2 linked regions of the Neodiprion lecontei genome follow. The protein of the gene in region 1 purifies or fractionates together with the protein of each later gene. This does not show direct contact. Links are inferred from orthologs where the notes say so. Each region holds a gene or a part of one and is shown in the gene's direction. Other genes may lie near its edges.

The links.
Region 2: the proteins of DNA polymerase beta (region 1) and DNA ligase 3 purify together in Homo sapiens (affinity purification with mass spectrometry; 3 studies listed by BioGRID and IntAct, counting the BioPlex papers as one, with this or other methods). This does not show direct contact. The link is inferred for Neodiprion lecontei from reciprocal best matches to the Homo sapiens genes POLB and LIG3.

The regions. Positions count from the first base shown.
Region 1 is NC_060264.1:26,378,623-26,388,833, forward strand, and holds DNA polymerase beta, read left to right. Parts: upstream 1-3,375; 5' UTR 3,376-4,264; coding exon 4,265-4,331; intron 4,332-4,407; exon of another isoform or gene 4,408-4,416; coding exon of another isoform or gene 4,417-4,432; coding exon 4,433-4,632; intron 4,633-4,761; coding exon 4,762-4,922; intron 4,923-5,051; coding exon 5,052-5,346; intron 5,347-5,431; coding exon 5,432-5,627; intron 5,628-5,704; coding exon 5,705-5,799; 3' UTR 5,800-6,417; downstream 6,418-10,211. Other genes in the region: zinc finger protein 62 homolog, read right to left, coding at 1-134, 318-672, 1,341-1,514, 2,005-2,136; heparan-alpha-glucosaminide N-acetyltransferase, read right to left, coding at 6,767-6,948, 7,035-7,218, 7,296-7,420, 7,518-7,794, 7,920-8,199, 8,290-8,397, 8,994-9,091, 9,166-9,287 and 4 more.
Region 2 is NC_060261.1:7,341,354-7,351,380, forward strand, and holds the start of DNA ligase 3, read left to right. Parts: upstream 1-4,988; 5' UTR 4,989-5,139; intron 5,140-6,447; exon of another isoform or gene 6,448-9,447; coding exon of another isoform or gene 9,448-9,547; intron 9,548-10,027. Other genes in the region: uncharacterized protein LOC107224107, read right to left, coding at 9,448-9,547. UniProt on the Homo sapiens protein: Isoform 3 functions as a heterodimer with DNA-repair protein XRCC1 in the nucleus and can correct defective DNA strand-break repair and sister chromatid exchange following treatment with ionizing radiation and alkylating agents.

The DNA.
Region 1 (10,211 bases):
TTCCACGATTTTTTGCTGCTGCAAGCCGGACGGACCCGCTTCGTCGCAAGCCAGGGATACATTTACAAACGTCGTAGGTTCAATCGTTCTACTATTACTAGGATCTTCCTCGCTTTCTTCCTTGACAGGTAGACCTGTATTAAAATCAAAATGTTCAAATTAAACACAGACTCGAAATCAATAATTAAATCAGAACACCATACTTGTCAGTTGAATACAACGTACGTTATTAAGATTAGAAATAAGTTCAAAAAACATTGAGCTTATTCTAGGAATTTTGAAACTATTAGGCAAACTAAATGAATTTCTTCGTGTACCATCATCACCATCGCAATCATCGTCAGAGTTTTCTTCATCATCGCTAGTTTCCTCTTCCTCGTCCTGTTGATGCGTTGTTGCATTAGTTTGGGACTCGGCAATCTGTTCATGTCCAGGTTGACTACTTGGACCAGGTACAGCCTGTTGGATAGGTTGGATAGGTTGGATGGGTCCAGTGCTTGTATCCATTGGCACAGCAGTTAATTGCTGCTGTGTTGAGCTGGGAATAATTAGCGGCATGCCTAGTCCCATGTTGTCTATAACTCCTATACCAATGCCAGGTTGAACTCCAGTCACCTGTATTGCTGTGCCTCCCAATCCGCTGGAACTGTTTTCTTCTTGTTTCATTGTACTCTGCGAACAAAAGTCATAATCATACTGTTAAAACTATGTATTATGGATAACCAACAATGATTAACTAGGGTTAATTAGATTTGAATGTGAAACTAAATGCCTGCACAAGCTTTTGATTGAGTTTGTAAACAGATCGCAGATACTATACCTATTTGGGAAAGATTGTAATATTTCGATAAAATTTATTTTGTATTTAAAAGAACGTTCTCAGTAGCAGTGTCACGATCTCTCTACATACATGTTGATCTAACACCTCTTTTAATTTTTGCCACTCTAAAAGTTCATGTCTAATACAAGACCACTGATAAAATTTTCGAATTGCATAGTAAAAAGTTTGGTGCAAAATAAAACTACAAAAATTTAAATGAACATAAGCCATTCAAATGAACAACCCAGTACACTTGCCAATAAAAAAAGATAAACTTGATATTAATTGTACCCTAATGTTGGCAGAAGATGTATCTCAACAATTATACTGCATTAATAGTTTAATTAAGTGAGTATAAACATACGTGTCCAAAATATTGTGGTCACTGTTTACGATTGTCAAGGTAAACAAGAAAAAAATAGAAGAGTAAATATGAGATTGTCATGTGTTCGATTTCGTGTTTCAAACACAGTCAAACTGAAGCAACATTGTTGTGTTTAGGGCAGATGAGTTAAATTACCGGATTTAGGACACCAGTGACATAGCCTTGCTTGTCCTCCAAGCCAACTTCGCCAAGCCATTGGAGTAGCTGCTTCTCGGCGTTTGCCGTTGTATTCCAAAATTGGTAAAGTAATTCTACTTTGTAAACGCAATCGTCGCATATCTTTTTAGGTAACTTGTCTTCCCGTGCAACCTGTAATAAAATTCATTTGTAAAATGCAGTTCGCTCAGAATCGCGTCTGTATTCATCTATTTGTACATATCATAGTTGTTAGAACAGCATTCGCCAATTAAAGTAGAATTATATACATAATTCACAGGAATAGAGTCCGGGACGCCGTAGCGTCCCTTTGTTAGGAATGGCGTCGGACCGCCTGCCGTAACGACGCGGCACGAGCAATAAGGAGGGAGGGCGAAGAAGGGGGGGGGGGGGGGGGGGGGGGGTTTGCAGAGCAGAGAAAAAGAAGGATCGATTTTACAACCACAGAACAGCAACACCGAAGCGGCATTTCACGTGCGAGATAAGAAACTGTAATAGCGGGAACAGTGATCGAGAACCACGCTGTGTACTCGATACATACGGAATCGATAAATTCATTGTAAATGGTAGGAAACAATAACCGTGACAAAATGGCGACCGTATATTGGCTGGCATAGAGCGATGGCGTAGTTTGTAGGCTTACCTTGACCGGCAAGCAGGCCGCAATCTTTAAAAAAATCTGCCTGACATCACCCTCACCCTCGAATATCGGTACGGACACACGATCTTTCATTAGACACAATCTGCACAAATCCAAATAGTCGAGGGACGACATTGTTCCACGTAAAACGCCACTTCGAGACGCAAGCCGCGCCCGTAGACGCGTTCGTTCCTTGAACTTTCAACAGAGACCAAGCTCAGCGGTGGGAGGCAAGTAGTGCCGGGCTGCCGGATCCGTTGAGGAGTGTGGCGACACTGACGACATCCCCCCCCCCCCCCCCCCTCCGAAACCTTCCGGGAACCGGCTATCGATTGGCCTGCGATGCTTGCCGAGCTTTACCGAGGCGTCTCGACGCCAAAACGAGTGTCACGAACGTCGGGTTGTGGACGATAAACGGCGATAATCGCGCTGGTGACTGTTAGCGACGAACGTCACTAGTTTAATATCATTGTACTAAATCTGATACGTTTCTAAAGTATTTATTACATTTTTCAATTTCAGTACCCGAATACGAAAATGACTCAGAAACGTATGAAACCCTCATTTGGAAAAGTAAACTCCTGACTATCGCGCCACCTGGAGACTGGAGAATGTTGCGTTGTTGTTGAGAAAAAATAATGCGTCGAGTAACAAAGGCAAACAACCAATTCATTAAATGACAATTTTGTAGATTGAGTTGTGTTGGGTTGGACGATCTGTTAATCGACGAAATGTTTTCGACGAATTCCGCGCAAATCGTGTTCAAAATATTTAAGCAGTGGTGTAAGAGTACATAAAAACTATTGTTTTACTGTATAGTTTTATAAGTCAAAGCTGTGACTCATACGATACGCTATAAATCAAAACTGTGATGTTCGTATGAGATGAAAAAAAAAAGAAAAAAACAATAAAACGCTAACGTGTTTACGTATTTATTATGTACTCTATTTGAAGCGACCGCCAATTTAGTAAGAAAATGCCAAATCTGTTACGATGTGGCGCTGCCGTCTAGTACTAAATGATTGCTCACTGTGGCAACGGTGAAGGCGACTGCTGGCCACGGCGTCGCAGTTGAATTAATTCATGTATAATGTTTCGATTTGTCTCAACTCACTACTACAATAATGCTGCCACCGCGGTACTCTGATACCGAACAATTAATAATTTAAGACAACAGACATTCCGTCGGGACGATTCTGACGCGGTAATCAAAAAATTATGTCGCAGCCGATGTATTCGCTTATAGCGCTATACATTTCATCGATTGCATGTATTATTCTCACAAGAATATGTACTTGACGATATTGAGATTAGATTAACACGATCTCTGCGGTCTCAACCCATCAATACACCGATACGTTAAATAAGAATTATCACGCATTATAAGACATGAAAGCGCGATAATTCCACGTTTTGACACGCATCCCAGTCACAAATCCTTACACTATGTTCTCACAGTCAGCTGTATGCTACTGTACAACTCGTTTCCTCAAAATATAGCGTATAAACTCGTAGGACACTGTCGTAGCTTTGGTCGTAACAACTCCACGTTGGGGTTGACCTTGACAGGAGGCAGCAACTGAAAGATTAAGAGATACGTAGTAAATAGGAACTTTCTAATTAGTGAACTTTCAAAATAAAATAAATTTCGAATAAGCTGCAGTGGTTCTTCATAAAAATTGTAACTAAAGAGCAGTTTCACTTATGTGATAACAATTATTCGACTTCAAATGCTGTAATTCCAATAATAATTCTAGTTTCATGTCAAGTTGGATCCACTTTTTTCGATATTAAGTGTTTGAATGAATATTTTTTTAGCGCTGCTGTCCGTATCATCAGCAACCAACAGTGTCATACTGCCGTTTGTTACCGACAGTGGACATAAGTAGATATCGCCACAGGGCTTCTGTAATTCTGTTACGGATAGTGTATGTTGGTAAATGTTCCCAAAGGTCTTCCGTGGTGCCGACAACAAGTATTGCTTACAGTTCTACGGTTCGTGTACTATCATGGTATCCCTAGCCGCCCTCGCCGACAAATACTTTCGTGTATACAATTGTCATCTCACTTCTGTCGAAACCTACGTATTTTCATATTCCTGAAAAGGGCACAACGACAGGAAAAAAGCAGAAGATTACGAAATTGCAGCTTTTGGTAGCAATTGAAAAGTGTAGAGGTTATACTCCAATTTGACAGTTCGTTTATTGCTTTCACGGCGATTGGCGATTAATAATTTTGAGATCCCTGTCAAAATACAAGAAAGATGAGCAAACGAAAGGCACCCGACAACGCAGACAATCTAAACAGTGATCTCTCCGATTTTCTGATAGGTATACATCGCCTCAGTTTCATTGAACTTTGACGCGCACTTACTGGGTGAAAGTTTGATGATCATTTTATCCAAAGTGAAAATGTATGAAAAAATTTGCAGAGCTAGCAAATTACGAGCGGAATGTCAGTAAAAACATCTACAAATATAACGCTTACCGTAAAGCTGCTGGAACTTTGGCTGCACTATCATACCGAGTGAAGAATGGTGAAGAGGCAAAAAAGTTGCCAGGGGTTGGAGAGAAGATCGCAAAAAAAATTGATGAGTTCCTTCAAACCGGAAAATTACAAAAACTTGAAAAAGTAAGTTATCATCAGTCATAATCTATAGTAACATGTGTAGGTCAATATCGATATCCTTAAACTCTATAGAACAATGAAATTTCATAACGCAGCTGTATTAGGATTTAACCTTGTATTTGTCATTTTCAGATTAATGCTGATGGCATCAGTGCTCCTATAAACTTGATGACCAGGGTATCAGGAATTGGACCATCGAAGGCAAAGGAATTGGTAGATGCTGGTATAAAGACTTTGGAAGACCTGAGAAAAAACCAAGATAAATTAACACATCATCAGAAAATTGGTTTAAAGTATGATTTTTACTACATTTGGAATCTTCCCTACCATTTTCGTAATCTCGAAACAATTTTTAATCAAGCTATTTCAAATTTTTTCTTCCTCATGATGTATTTGCAATAATTTTTTCCAATTTTTGGCAGGTACTTTCAAGATTTTGAACAGAAAATTCCAAGGGAAGAGGTGCGGCGACTCGAGACCAGTCTCAAATCAGTGATTGCTAATTTAGACAAAGAGTATATACTTACAATCTGTGGTAGTTATAGACGTGGAAAGGATGAGAGCGGCGATATTGACGTCTTGATAACACATCCAAAATTCACATCCGAAAGTATGGATGCGAAAAATAAAGGCGGTATGCTAAAAAATATTGTTAAACATCTTGAAAAGGAGGGAATAATCACAGAGACTATCTCTATCGGCAACACAAAGTTTATGGTATGCAGCTATATTAACAAAGAATATCTTGATTTGCATCAACACAGACTTAAGCATTGTCAAAATTGGAATTGCTTTCAAACAGGGTGTTTGCCGAGATCCAGCAGAATCGAGTAAACCATTTCGCCGACTTGATATCAGAGTTACTCCCAGCGATCACTACTACTGTGCCGTATTATATTTTACCGGCAGTGATTTATTCAATAAAAATATGCGGGCACACGCACTTAAAAAGAAATTTACGTTGAACGAGTATACCTTGAAACATCTAACATTGGAAGGTACGGATCAACATGCAAAATCCGGCAATCAACTTTAAAGTTTAGATTAATCGACCCTTTTACAATTTCTATTAAAGGGTTACCAGGGAATGCTGAATTAATCACAAGTGAAGAGGATATCTTCAGTAAACTTGGACTTCCATACAAAAAACCGGAAGAGAGGAATTCATAATGCCAAAGATTCACAAAATGTGATAATTCCAGGCCATGAAAGTATGCGCATCATAACATAGTGCATACGTATATGTATATAACGTTCTTTATTAATTCGATATATCTGGGTAGAAATCATACAAGACCTCATTAGCGTTGAGATCTATATTGTTATGAAATTATTAAATACTAATATTTTCAGCCATATTCTGTATCACAAAACGAAATGCGTAAATAGAAACTATATCTTAATATAAACTGAATTGGTCCAATTCTTAGCCTATTCTCTTTATATCTCTGTTACTGAAAGGTCAATAGTAATTATCGGTATCATGAGATGCCACACCTCATTTTAACAGTTTGGTTGAAACAAAATATTTATAACAAAACTAAAAATGCACCGCAAGCATATGCATGCGTATGAATATGTAAATAGTGTTGGAGAATAACATAAAATTACATATGTTATATTTTACTCAAACTACAACACCAATAACAAGCATTTACCCAAATTAAATGGGATTTGTCCAAAGCGGTAAAATAATAATTACATCTAACATAAGTATCGTCGATTAAAACGCTAACCATGGGGCCGATTTTGCTGTGCTTTCCGTTCAGACTACATCGTGACCCGACGCTCGCCTAACAAAAAGTTCACTGTCAGTCCCTGAGACTGACGCCATGCTTAGCGTGTTATAATGCCAAAATCAGTCAAACCAGTTTGAATGAATCTGACGAACATGGTCGGTTATTAACTCAAACACTTTTCTGTCAAAAATTAATTCTTACTAATTGGAACGAGTCGCTAAAGTAAATTATACATGTGGGCTAGTACAAACAGTGGGTGTATATTGCCCAAAACGACAGGCTTAAAATTAGATTATCATTTTTTTCATTCCACTTAATTATTTGACCAATGGTTTGGAATTCTGAGCTGAAGAAATTCCAAAACTTTCTTCTCAACTGTGGAATAGATAGGGTTGTGTCTATACTGTGAGAATAATTTCTTTCTTGTGAAGCACATAAGCAATAATGGCCCAAAGCGCCGTGGTCCACAAGTTTAGTGATAATACATTAGCATGCGTCCTAACTCCATTAATCGTCAAGGTCCAAGGAAATACTCCCATCGTAAAGTAATGCCCCATATACAAGAATATAGCATTTGTACCTGAAAAATAGTGAATGAAATCAACACGTATTACTTTAATGCAAAACAATTCAGAATAAAGTATACCAGAAAAGTTGGTAACTTGCCTGCGTAAAAGAACGGAGCTCCACTCCACCAATGTTGAAGATCAATCAGAATGTAGAGAATTGTATTCATGGCAAATGCTATACTAGATGTTGCGAGCACATAAGACAACGACATCATCGATTTATTCACAGGAATAACACCATCTTCTTTACTGAAGTTACATAAAATACCAGCCAAAATACCCTGCATAAAATAATAAATAATTCATACAGGTTTTTTTCAGAGTTCAGTATATCTGTGATCAATAGCTGTAATCTTACCGTAACCACAGACCACAAAAGCCAACGAATCACACGGGACTTTGCTTGGTGGTACGTTAGCATGATTCTACCAGCTTGAACACCCATATAAACCAGTAACACAGCTGAAATGGTGCTCATAATTCCTAGATGAGAGATAAGAAGGAGCACATTATAAGCAGTCTGAACTTTGTAGGTATGTAACAACGATACATTCGTGAGTCAATAATTGGATGTGCGAACCTTCAGGGTCATAGGGTGGGTGTTTTCCATAAACTCCGGACTTTTTCATATATATATGGTTACCGAAAATAGTTCTGTCGATGTATCCAGCTGCTCCTGCAGTACAATTAGCATGTGCTCCATGTTCATGAAGTCCACCTGGTCCTAAGTATCCTTTTGGACAACCAGGAACTGGTAGAAGGAACGTCAGGAGCAAGTGTGTGGTTGCAATGGCAATAATAACCAACCACTGCGCCCAAGCATCCAAAATGTCTTGGAGAAATTTTAGTCGGTCATACTGCGAATAACAGAATCCTCCCTCATCAATGGTTTGTTAATATTAGCATAAACATCACAGCAGATCGACTAATGATTCATCATAGATATTAAACAATCAGTTCAAAAACCAGTTTTAGAGCCAACCTGAAAAGTTCGTTGCGCCTTGGTGAATATAGCTTCAAGCGTCGCGCAGATAAAGTACGATACTCCCAATAATTGTAAGATTCCTGGAAATCTGAGATCGTTGAGTTTCAGAATTACGCAATTCTCAGTTGTTCTGGTTAGTGAGTTGATAACCAGGCCAAGAAATATCAAAGTTACAGATCGACAAAAACAACGTAAAATAATCCTGCTTCGGGATATAGATATCCTAAGTTGGGTACGCAGTGAAATTATTATGGTGAATCCCATGATCCATGCAAAGCTAAAATCAATCACAAAATTGGAGATCATCAAAAAAAGTACTTCGACTGAAAGTAACAAGAATATTTGTAGAGGTTTGTTTCATGCTTACAATGGCAACACCAAGTCTGCCAGTGTTATTCCATTCCATGGGCTATGATTGAAAAACCAGTATTTACCCCCACCATTGTTGACGAATATCATCAATAAAATCGCAATTCTGGGAAAAAAATTCATCCTTGAATTACATGAGGAAAAACCGGTTTGACCTGAACCATTAGCTAAATTTGAGATTCTTGTACCTAACAGAGTGCTTCGTAATCATTTTATTTTTTATACTAGTCTTACTTGAAAACCAGTATTTACCCCCACTGTTGTTGAATATTATCAATAAAATCTTAATACTGGGAAAAAATTCCTTCGAAACAAATTACATTAGGAGAAACTGGTTGCCCTTACACATAAGCTTAGTTTAAAAAATTTGTTAAACATTTTTGGGACGTTGTAACACAGTGTTTTGTTTGTTCAAGATGTTTAAAGTGCTGAAAATAAATCGAAAAAAATCCCCCTATCGTGGGCCAATGTCTGCATAATCGAAATGAAAAATAAAATTTTTCAGAATTTTTTCTGATTTTTAAATAATGCTAATTTGTAGATTAGTTTGAATAATTATAAAAAATTAATAGTTGTAGGAAAATATTTAAATAAACTCAGGAATGCTTTTTTGAAAATGGAGAATGTTATAAAAAAAAAAGGAAACTCATCGGTTGAGTTGCCATTATTTATTGAATGCCCCATTATATAATTATACGTTACCCACGAAAGGTGTCCAAAAATTTCGCTCGAGTGCTAAATCTGGTCACCCTCTCTATAGGCCTAGGTGAAGATTCGTTTTCCTGCAGTCTTCCCAGATCCTGAAATATAAAATACCAAACATCAGTAATATCAAAGTATTATAAATCACTTTCTCTTGAAAATATCCACTCACACTCTGAACTTCGGGCACATCTCTCCTTAAAAATCTGGTCATTAGTCCGGAGCGAACGACAAATGTTCCGAGTGCCCATGTGGCCGAGAAGAAAAACATGAGCATAAATGCTGCCAAAATTGCTGCAAAAATATTTACGTACAGAACTTCCAAGTTCCAATATAGCTTTTTCAAAGTTAAAATACTTAATTCCTTACGCATATATGGATTTGGTGGTTGATATGTGGTATAAATTTCCGAGCAGCTACGATCCGTCAAGTTCATTTCATAGTGTCCATGCTCCTCGAATTTAAAAGTGGTACTGAAAAATCATATATTATTGCAGAATGCATAGCAATAATTTCTCTATTTTGAAGGTCTGCTATGGAAAATAACATTATGCATGTAAACATATGGAAATATTTGTCTAACATCTTAAATAAAATTGTATGGTATACTTTTCCTACACCTGGTCATTTACTGGTGCTTGTTGAATTACTGGTACAGTTACCCTGTATATTCTGAATAGATCTTCAATCTTTAACCAAATCTCTACACATTTTTTCAACTTTTGCCAGTCAATTATAAATCTCCTGAATCTTTGCTAATGTCCATAAGAAAATTGATTGGTATGTGTAATAGAAAGCTGCAGTAGTATGCTGCAAAATATACCCACTGGCAGTATTCCAACCCATCCTGCACATAGTAAACATGATACGGATGCTTTGTGTCTACTGAGAGTGTTGTGTTGCTGTTTCCAGGTAAGACACTGCGTAGTGTTCCATTACACTGAAAATCATGACAATAAGTAAAGAATACCAAATTTGATTTTCCTGTTAGATTACGTACCAAGAAGCACTCTGTCGATTGTCCGTAAAATTTTATGCTGCCGTTGTTGCTATTGATTAGACTCAGGCAAGCTATGTCTATCCCAAGAGTTTTGTCATCGCAAGAGAAATTACCATTTCTCCCAACTAGAAGCTCCATGGTTTTCGAATGGTAAGAGACAAAGGCTTCAAAGCTGATGTATCTTTTCGCTAGCTAGGTGTAAGAATATAAAAGAATTT
Region 2 (10,027 bases), on another chromosome or scaffold:
TCAAGCATGAGTTTATTTTGTGTAATTAAAATATAGCGGTTTTGTATTTCACCTGCGTTTAACGGTGAACTAACCAGTTGAGGAAAAAAATTAAATCCCTTGGGCGATTTGATCTATGAGGTTGAATTTCGTATCGTTAATGAATAACGATGGATTTTTAGTGGAAAAAAAAAAAACAAAAACATCAAGTATTCCACAACTTTGGAATTACGTTAAAGTCGGTAAATCGTAATAAAGTGAAAGATGTTCGCACTTTCAAAATTCATTTCCGTCCAAATCATTCCAAAGTTGAGAAACAGTGATTTGTGTTCAATTTTTCGTTATATTGACGTCAGAATTCCCGAAGAATTGTAAATTCGATTATTTCAAGGGTTAACATCACTGTAAAAACTTTCTTGAGAGTTGTTTTTTTTTTTTTTTTTTATTTTTCTGGACGGAAGAAAAGGTAACGAGATAATAATATTTTAAGGAAATTATTGGGCATGTATTTAAATATAATACAAAAAATTACTCACAACAAATATTCAATAATTCAAGGGGATTTTCGACAAATCAATTTAAAAATTATTTATTATCCAACGATTGCCATTTTTTTCTGTTAAAAATTTAACCTCTTTTATTGAGATACTCACCAGTCACACAAAAATCAATATCTTTAAAGTTCCCTACGTGTTTCTCTATGGCTATAAACATTTAGATTGAATGATTTTTTTTTTCTTCCACATTCAAACTTACATCAGTCAAACTACGTGAAATTTGAACGAAGAGTTTGAAAGAAAAAGAAAGAACTTTGTTCGTTCATTCGGTGAACAATAAATAAATAAATCTAACCTCAGGTACGAAAATATGCGTTCGCGTCTGAGATTTTTAATATCGAGTCCAATGTCCAAATTGAAAATGGCGGATGCCATGATCATAATCGTCAAGACGCTAGGAACAGGTGTTATTTGCGGCGTTTGTAATCCATTTGCTTGCCCTGAATTTAGCCGGATAATAGATCGTACATCCGGTTTTGATAGGACTTATCTCTCCCGGCCAATTGATTGCCCTCGCCAAAAAGCTTTACAGGCACTATCTGACCGCGTATAAGCACTTCTCGTATGTTTACCAAACCCCTTCGCTTTAATCCCGCGGTTGAAAAGCACTTGTCGATGGTTAATACCGAGTCTTGCGTCAATTGATTGCTCGGCCCTCTCCCAGCTGTGCGCATGAAAACCTGGAAAATCGGAAAAACTTGGGGAATTTCGAAAATGAGATTGAAATTCTCAGTCTGTCGAAGAAATGAATTCGTTCTTAAAAAAAAGTACCGTCGATATTAGGAGAAGAAAAAAAAAAAATGAGGAAGAAGAAAGAAAGAGAAAAAAAAAAGTAAGATTGCACTCAAAATTTTGTTTCTTCGCACCACTTCATACATTCCATGTATGTCACTTTTTTTCTTTTTCTTTTTTTTTACTTTAATGATAATCGCAGGCTATTGTTTGCAAATAAAAGGTTACTGAAAAAATCAGGGAACTTCAGATTCCAAAAAGCGTAGGAACCGTGTTAAATATGGCGCTCAGTTTTTTCTCTTTTTCCCCGGTTTTATCGTCGATACATAATTGCGGTCACGTGGCGGGTGTAATTATCAGAGTAACGATTTAACTGAATTTTATTGTTGGTTGAACTTGGCTCTGTTTTTCTCATAAATTCTATATAATCGATTTTCGATACGTTGTATAAAGAAAAATTAAATTTTTCTCTTCATACGTTTAGTGCGGCTGTGCTCGAAATTCCTCTTATATTACTGATTTTATCTGATCGTTGATGCTGAACGTTGTTTGAAACGGGAAAAAAAAACCGATGCGCAGGAAAAAAAAAAGAACAAACATCATTGATAATCGATGAAAAATTCTATTCATATTATTCGCGCATTTCAAACGAAGAATACTTTCATTTTGCTTTGTGCTTTTCAAAACTCTTGCAAACTTTTTGTTCATTTTTAGGGTCGTTGTTTGACCGTGTGAACAATTAAAGAGAAGGAAGAAATACCAACTGAGAATAAATAAATCGGATACAAGTGTGCTTAGAATAAAAAAATTTAAAAATACAAAAATAATCTCACAATTATCAATTTTTGTTTTCGTATGAAAGTACTTACACGACGAATCACGCAATCGCAATTTTTATCGCAATTTTTCGACCCAGCTTATCTGAAGTACGATTTAAAGACTTGGAAAAAAAAAGCTGTAAAAATTTAGAAAAGACTTGTAAAATATAAGAAAATTTTTGAAACCCATTAGAAGAGCTTTTATGTTTATTCTTGTTTCAAAAATGAAGTCCGAGAATAATAATTTTTTTTTTTTTTTCTTCAAATCTTTCTTATTTATCTTTTGAAGTTGTGACATTTCCATCTTCTAATACGTGTTAAAAACTTTGTTACATTTTATAAGAGTGTTTAAATTATGGCTCGGATACGCTGGGTCGAAATATTGAGTAAAAAAATTGCGATAGCGTTTTTCGTCGCGTACTTTGATAGAAAAAAATATTATAAAGCCAATTCGAAACATCGACTCAGAATCTTGATTGACGCGTCATGGAATGCCTCGTGTATTATATATATACACGTAAATTTGTGTGTTTACAAGTAAAATAAGGTAAAACCAAGGAGAAAAAAATGACAGAAACATCATTGATCGACTATAATCCGATCGGTAGCTTTTGTACAGGGAAATAAAATGTGAGGAATAAGAAGGAAAAAAAGAAACGGGAAAAAAAAAATGTTCCATTTTAACGGCAGGCCAACTCGACTGCCTCTCGTCCTCGTTCTCAATCAGCCGTCTCATCATCGTCCGTCTTCTCAAAAGACGGAGCAACACGTCGAACGCCTGACGGAAAAGGGTCTGCTGCGGGTTGCAGCCCAACCCGATAATCGATATCCTTCCTTTCACAAATAATATTGTGGGAAAAGTCGGCCTCCTAATTCCAATTCAATTCATACCTCTGTCGACTTTCATCCTTGTCACTTTTCTCTTAACGCAAATTTTATTGTACACTTTAAAAAAAATTTAAACATCCATTTAAAGTAAAATTTACGCTTCACAAAAAAAAAAAAAAAAAAAAAGACTCATGCACATTTTTTTTTATGAGACCGGTAGCTACGCTGTAATATTCAAAAAAGGTCAAATTATAGGTAACTCAACTTTTGACAGGCTGTAACTTTGACACAGTTAGTTTTGCGAAATTTTGACAAGAGACCTTTTCTTGTAGAGCATTCAATTTCCTGCAAAATTTTTTTTTACGACGCTTCGTTAGCTAGTTATAAAAAACTAGAAGAAGCAAACAACATTTATCCTACGTTATTCTTATGGAAAATCGAAAAGTGTGATATTAAGCTTTTCTCGCTCCTGAAATTTTTCCCACCGTAAATTTAGTTGGCAGCACTGTCAGACTCCATGCAAAATTCGATGCTGCGCTTCGAAATTCATGAAAGCTTCGTTTTTCGGGGTGTTATATTATTGTTATTCTTACATACAGTGGTGAGGTGGTAAAACATGACCATTCAGGAGAAAAAGCTTCGAACGGAGATTTGAATCAATGGAAAGAGTTGGTAAATATTAGCATAAACGCAAGTTTGTCGTTATCTTCGGGGCAGAGAAATCGATCCTTTGATATTACAACCGTACGTTGAAGTTTTCCTTCAAGTCGTACGAGCAAAAACATTTCACAGAGTGGCGGAATTCTTAAATTATTCACAGGGGTGAAATTTTTATCGAAGAATAATTTCTTTCTTCTGCGTTTTCTTTTTTTTGTTTTCAACAGTCGCGTAGATAAATAAAAGCACAACGGTAGTTTTACTCTCTGCGAACGCGGTAGTAAACGAGATCGAGAGAAGCCTAAGCGAGGGCAGTAAATGGACTAGCGGTGCACTCAGCTTCCGTTAACGAAATCAACCCGTACCAAAGCTCGACGAAAAGCTCAAGCTTGCAGAGCCTCGGCGTTGTTCGTGGACGGTGCATGGCTTTACTTTTTCAGTCATACTTATTTTACAGCTATTTTTTTTCTTTTTTTTTTCGTACGTTCAGAGAACTTTTCAACATTTTTCTTTGTGGATTTTTGCTATTTTTTTATTGCTTACTAAAATAGGTTTTCAATGTTCGAGAGTTATCGTTGCGATTCAATGTGAATTATTATTGTTAGAAACAAGTTGATCGAAAAAAAATCGTGAAAATCGAAGGAATAATTCATTTCCGAGAAAGTTGCTCCTCTGCACGTAAACTTGTTGTACATAAATTACAAGTTTTTGGAGTCGCTGATTACGGATCTGAAATTCGATTTTGACTTGAAATTTTGACGCAATCTTTAAAACTACTTTATCGTTTCGATATTGCGGCTACATTTTTTGAATTTAGATATCAAAATTTGTTTATACATTTTTTTTTTCAACAATTTTTTGTTCACAATCGTATAGTATTAATAAGAAAAAGAAAACGTTACACATTTGGGTTACAAACTCGTACCCGAAACGGTGTTTTTAATAAATTAAAAAAAGTAAAATAATTTTTTATCCGTCACAAGTTGGACAAGACAAGAGTTTCAGAGTCGTTCGGTACTTATATCCGCGATGCCGCCATTTTGTTTTTAATTTCAATGAAAAAAAAATTCTAAAACATTGTTGAAACTATAAATAATAAAGTCGATAAACTAAAATTGCTTTCAGAGTTTTCCTTTCAATAAAAGTAAAAATCCTGACAATAGGTATGAATTTAGACCCTTCAATCCGTATCCCCCCCCCGATCGTGGCGCGACTCACCAACGGGGTGTTAACATTTTCGCCAAACGACTCGCAGCAGGCATACATTATCGATCGAGCGCAGCTCGAGTTCCGAGTTAATCGACGGAGCCAGCGGCACGTTACGAGGTAAGCTCACCGACTGAAAGCACGTCGTGTCGCAGCCAGTAAGACTGTTTCCTGATTCATCCGGTCGGTAAGGTAGCGTCTGTAACAATAACAAAAGCCGAGAGTGCGATCGCGTGTAATGTGACATCTCGTCAGAACGTTTTGTGAATTCAGTGAACTGGCCGGATGCGGATTATAGTTTACGACGTCGTTAAAGTTGACGAAAGACGGGCGGAAGAATCGAGGTGAGATAACGGCGGAGGGTGAGTCGCAAGCTTCGTATTTATGCGTTGTTTCGCGGCGCTTGAGGTTAGGTTTACATTTTCAGAGTTTGTTTCGAGTTTTCGTTAGCTGCGTAGACTCGGCGTTGTTTGTGACGCAGAATTAACCCGATCTTACTACACTTGCTTCTTTATCACTGCTGCGGTTGTTTGAATCCTTATCTCGTTACTGATTGCGTGTCATGCCGCAATCACACCGGATGAAAGGTCTTTCCGTCTCACTGTTTTCGAACGTAGCCACGCAACGTTTGACGAACGGTCCGTAATTTATGGATGGTTTTTTTTTTTTTTTTTTTGCCGCTGCACTCGTGCCGCGCGATTGATGGTTAGTCGTTTGCTGCATTACCGATATTCTTGTTGTTTGTAAGACGGTGAAACGAAAACAATTGCATTATCAATAGGTACTAGTTGCATCGTTATTGACACATCTCTGTAATTTTTTTTTAAATTTATTTATTTTTTATGCGTCTGTCAGTTTACTTTAAACATTAAACTTGACAACGTTCCGCCAATCAAATTTTCTTTTTTTTTTTTTTATAGAAAACTGATACCGATATTTGCATTGAAGTTTACTATCTTACCGTCACTCGATATCATCACCCATCAACTCACCTTGTTTTATTGAAAGAATTACCGCATCGAGGCAAGTTTTTAAGCCTGAGCTTGTCGAGAGTTGTTTCAAAGCTTCTACGACAGATGATATTAACTAACAATAAATCGTGGAAAAATTGATGAACAGAAAGAACGAGGAGTCAGCGGTATATTCTTGTTACATAATTTATTGTTGCTTTCATATAGAATTACATTTATACATGCTATATAGATGATTCTGTTTCAGTTACACTAAAATATCTAATATTTGGTATATATTTTTATACATGTATATATATATATTCATATATTTATATATATATTTATACTAATATTGTGTTATATAGTCACTGTATATGTAGTTACTTAAAACTTTTATCTCTTGAATTCTCTTTTGTTTGTTTGTTTTTTTTTTTTTTTTTTTGTTTTTCCTCTACCTGAAACGCATTTAAGGGCGATTACAGACGAACGTGTTTAACATCGGATCGAAGTGTCAGAGTGTACTTTATACAGCGTTAATTAACTAATCGATGCGTGTGGATACACAGACAAAGATAATCAATAATTTTTAAACAGGTACGGTATTCGTATATAAGTTAAAGCTTTGCTCGAAGTGAGAAAACCAAAAATACATTACACGTTAAGTATAATTTTCTCGATTGTTATACCCGTGTGTAATTAGGTATTGGTTACCTTATGTAATAATTTGTTTTGTTTTTTTTTTTTTTTTCTTTTTCTTTTGTTGATTAAAAAAATATACAATATATATGTATAGGAAATATTTTTAAACCAAAGTAGTATAATTTAACGGTAAATGTAAAAAAAAAAAAATATTCAAACAATCTACGCGTTGGTTAAATTAAGTGAAATGAATACGAAGTAACAAACGAACGATATTAAAGTTAAATAAATAAAGATTTTAATAAGGTAAAAACAATGAATAACAACTTATGTGTCGATAAATAACAGTAATCGAATGCGAAGGGTGCAGACGGTCACTCATACTGAACGCGATTACAAAGTATAAATTTTATTTATCTCATTTTCTACGTAACAGAAATTGTGAATAAATGTGTTACATTCGTTTCTTGAATGAACGATTCAATCTCGCGTCGCCTTTTGCATTTTGTTTATAATTTTGCGGATCACTTCTATAGACGTGCGGAAAGTGTAAGAAACGTCGCGGCATTCAATTTTTATTTTTTTTTTTTTGTATGATCGGACGATACGTGCTGAAGCCACACTGTCTTTACAGTACCGGAAGTTTCGTCCTTCGTTTTTCGAATTCTCAGTTCTTTCGTAGGTTTTTTTTTTTTTTTTCCCTCCTCTTCTTTTCTATTTTTGTGTCAAATAATCACAACACAAAGATTGAATTCGCATGCAAGTTTATTACAATATTACTAATCCAGTTCTACATAAGTTATTTATTTCTTTTTTCTTCATTATTATTAACCCCCTTTTATTTTTATGTTTTACTTATTGTTTTTTCAATTTTCCTCTCTCCAAGCGCCCATATATTTATACATATTTATGCGGCGAAACTAAGTTTTAATATTATCCATGTTTAAAAATCATTTCAATTTACTTTTTTTTTTTTTCTTCTATTTTGTTTTCTCTTTCCTTTGAAATCCATACGATTGTGTGATAATGTAATTTTGTTAAACGTAATAATTTCCCGGCGACCTCTGCACCCTTCGAGCACGCACATGCAAACACACGTTACAATATTTTTTATACGTATTACAATAGTCTAAAGAATAAATATGATTTGAGGATAATTTCACGTTTTCAATAATATAATAATATAAATTTATATTATTTAGTATAACAACGATTAGTTCAAAGACATTGCAGTCGTCGTTTTCAGAGAATCGTTTGTTTTTTTTGTTTTCCTTTTTTCTAAATCGTGTTTTCAAATTCCACCTTCAGTAATTTTCCGTTTAAACAACATTTTGAAGATACGTGTTTTCCATATTTTTTTTCTCCTTCTACTCGAGGAAGCCGAATATTGTTGAAAAATTACAAACTAAATCTAATGGTTGTCATATTGTTACAGATAATTGTTATTCGAACTCTCTTGAATAACAATTTTTATAAATTACAAAAATTACAAATGCAACGTCCTTGCTTGTATGCAGCGGTAATATAATTTAGAGATATATATATATGTATATATATAGAGGCTATTGTGTTACGGTACATAGATTAGGTATATTATAGAATACTCGAGGTCAGCTAACAAGCGATATTCTGCAGGGTTTGTATTCGATTTTAATGATTTCATTGTTTTTTTTTTTTATTTTTTTTGCAAATATTTTTTAACACAGTTTACCGACCCGGAACGGTCGTTATATAATAAATAAGGAACGACGGTTATCAATCGCTTGATATTTCGTTACAGATTGTTAGTATGATGATAAATATAAAAAAAGAAAAGAAAAGAGAACAGAACAAATCTATCATCCGTACAAAATCATTAATATTACATTTATTAAATATAATATTCGTCATAACGGGGGGGGGGGGAATGATAAAAATGATTAAAAATAACTTAATAAGCGTAAATTTCTCATTGAGATTCGACAAAATCATTTCGCAGGTATGGTCAGGTATGCATGGAAAATATATGTATGTATATATGCATACGCGATATGCGTGTATAATTTTGCACACGCACCCGTATGAGTAGATTTCCTTTTTATCGATTTACGTGATTTCAAATTTTCAACGCGCGGTCTCGTATATATATCTGTGTATGGTGTTTTTTTTTTTTTTTCTCCTCATTAAAATTTCAATCATTAATCACGTACAACACAAATATACTATATGTATATTAAATGCGAATGAATATATATAGTTGGTTTTTTTTTTCTTTTGTTTTTTGTTTTTTGTTTTTACAGTAATTAATTGATGCTGTTGTTGTTGTTGTTGTGTGCGTGTGAATGCGTGTTGTCTCGTTATTTTTTCCACATTTCATACGTACGTCAGAATCGGTATAATTTTTCACAAGAGACACGGAACAAGCAATCACGTACGTAAGATTTACGCGTTTTACAGGTAGGTTGATCGATACTGCATTATGCTTCAAATGTACTTTCAATTTTTGTTTTTTTGTCTCTTATTTTATATCTAAAAAATTCTTCATCCAACAAATTTCAAGACCCGGGATTAATGTTTCGGTTATGTTTTATACATGTATATAATATATTTTTTTTATATCCTAGTTTTCTTCGCAAGACCCTCAGGTACTTATTTTAGACATGTGTATGTATTAAAAATTTTTATTTCGAAAGTCGAAGAAATTCAGTGAGATGATTTTTAATCAAAGTTAGCAGAGAATCGAAAAAATGAAAGGCTGGAACCAAGTTTTGTTGGAAAATGAAGTATGAAGTAAAAAATTTTTTCAAAACATCAAATCGTTTGCATTGTGTATTTGTTTTACATTTGCACAACATGCACTGTATATGTGTGTAAGCGCGTGTGTATATATCGGTATTGTTATGTAATCTTCACGTTCTTTGGTAACGAGTTGAATATATAATTCTTGAAATCTCTCCAACTGTTATTGTTATCATTGTTATCATTGTTATCATTGTTATCATAATTTGCTAATCACTATTGTATCATAATATTGTGTGTATGTGTGTGTGTGTATGTATATATATATATATATATATATATATTTGTATGTATATAAATCTAGGAGATAGGCCGGTGTGCAGGTAAAGTGCTGATGGTTCTTGGACCAAGAGAGATCCACGATCTGAGTGATCGGATTTTCGGACGTATCTGCGACAGCCTGCGCATCAAAATTCAATACAAGACGGTCTTATTACGGTTTTTTTTTTGAATTTTTTTTTTTTTTTTTCGTTTTAAAAATATTCGTGTAGATGGTATATTATAATTTCATTATATATATTTCTATAATGATGTGTGCGTTTTACGAATCGTGCAGTATACGTATGATGATAATAATAATAATAATAATAATAATAATAATAATAATTTTAACAACAACAACAATAATAATATTATTAATAATTGCGATGAAAATCCATATTTTTATTTTTTTTGTCTCGTACGATCTTCGTTTTCGAGTTCGCAAATTTGTTTTGTGAAATTTTAGCGAAATTCGTGCTACAAATAAATATTCTAGGATGATGAAATAGTGAAGTAGAAAAAAAAAAATATATATATATATATTAACCACGGTAATGGCGCGATATGAGAAATGCGCATCAAAATTAATCCAGCGATTGAAATTGGCATGCCATTCACG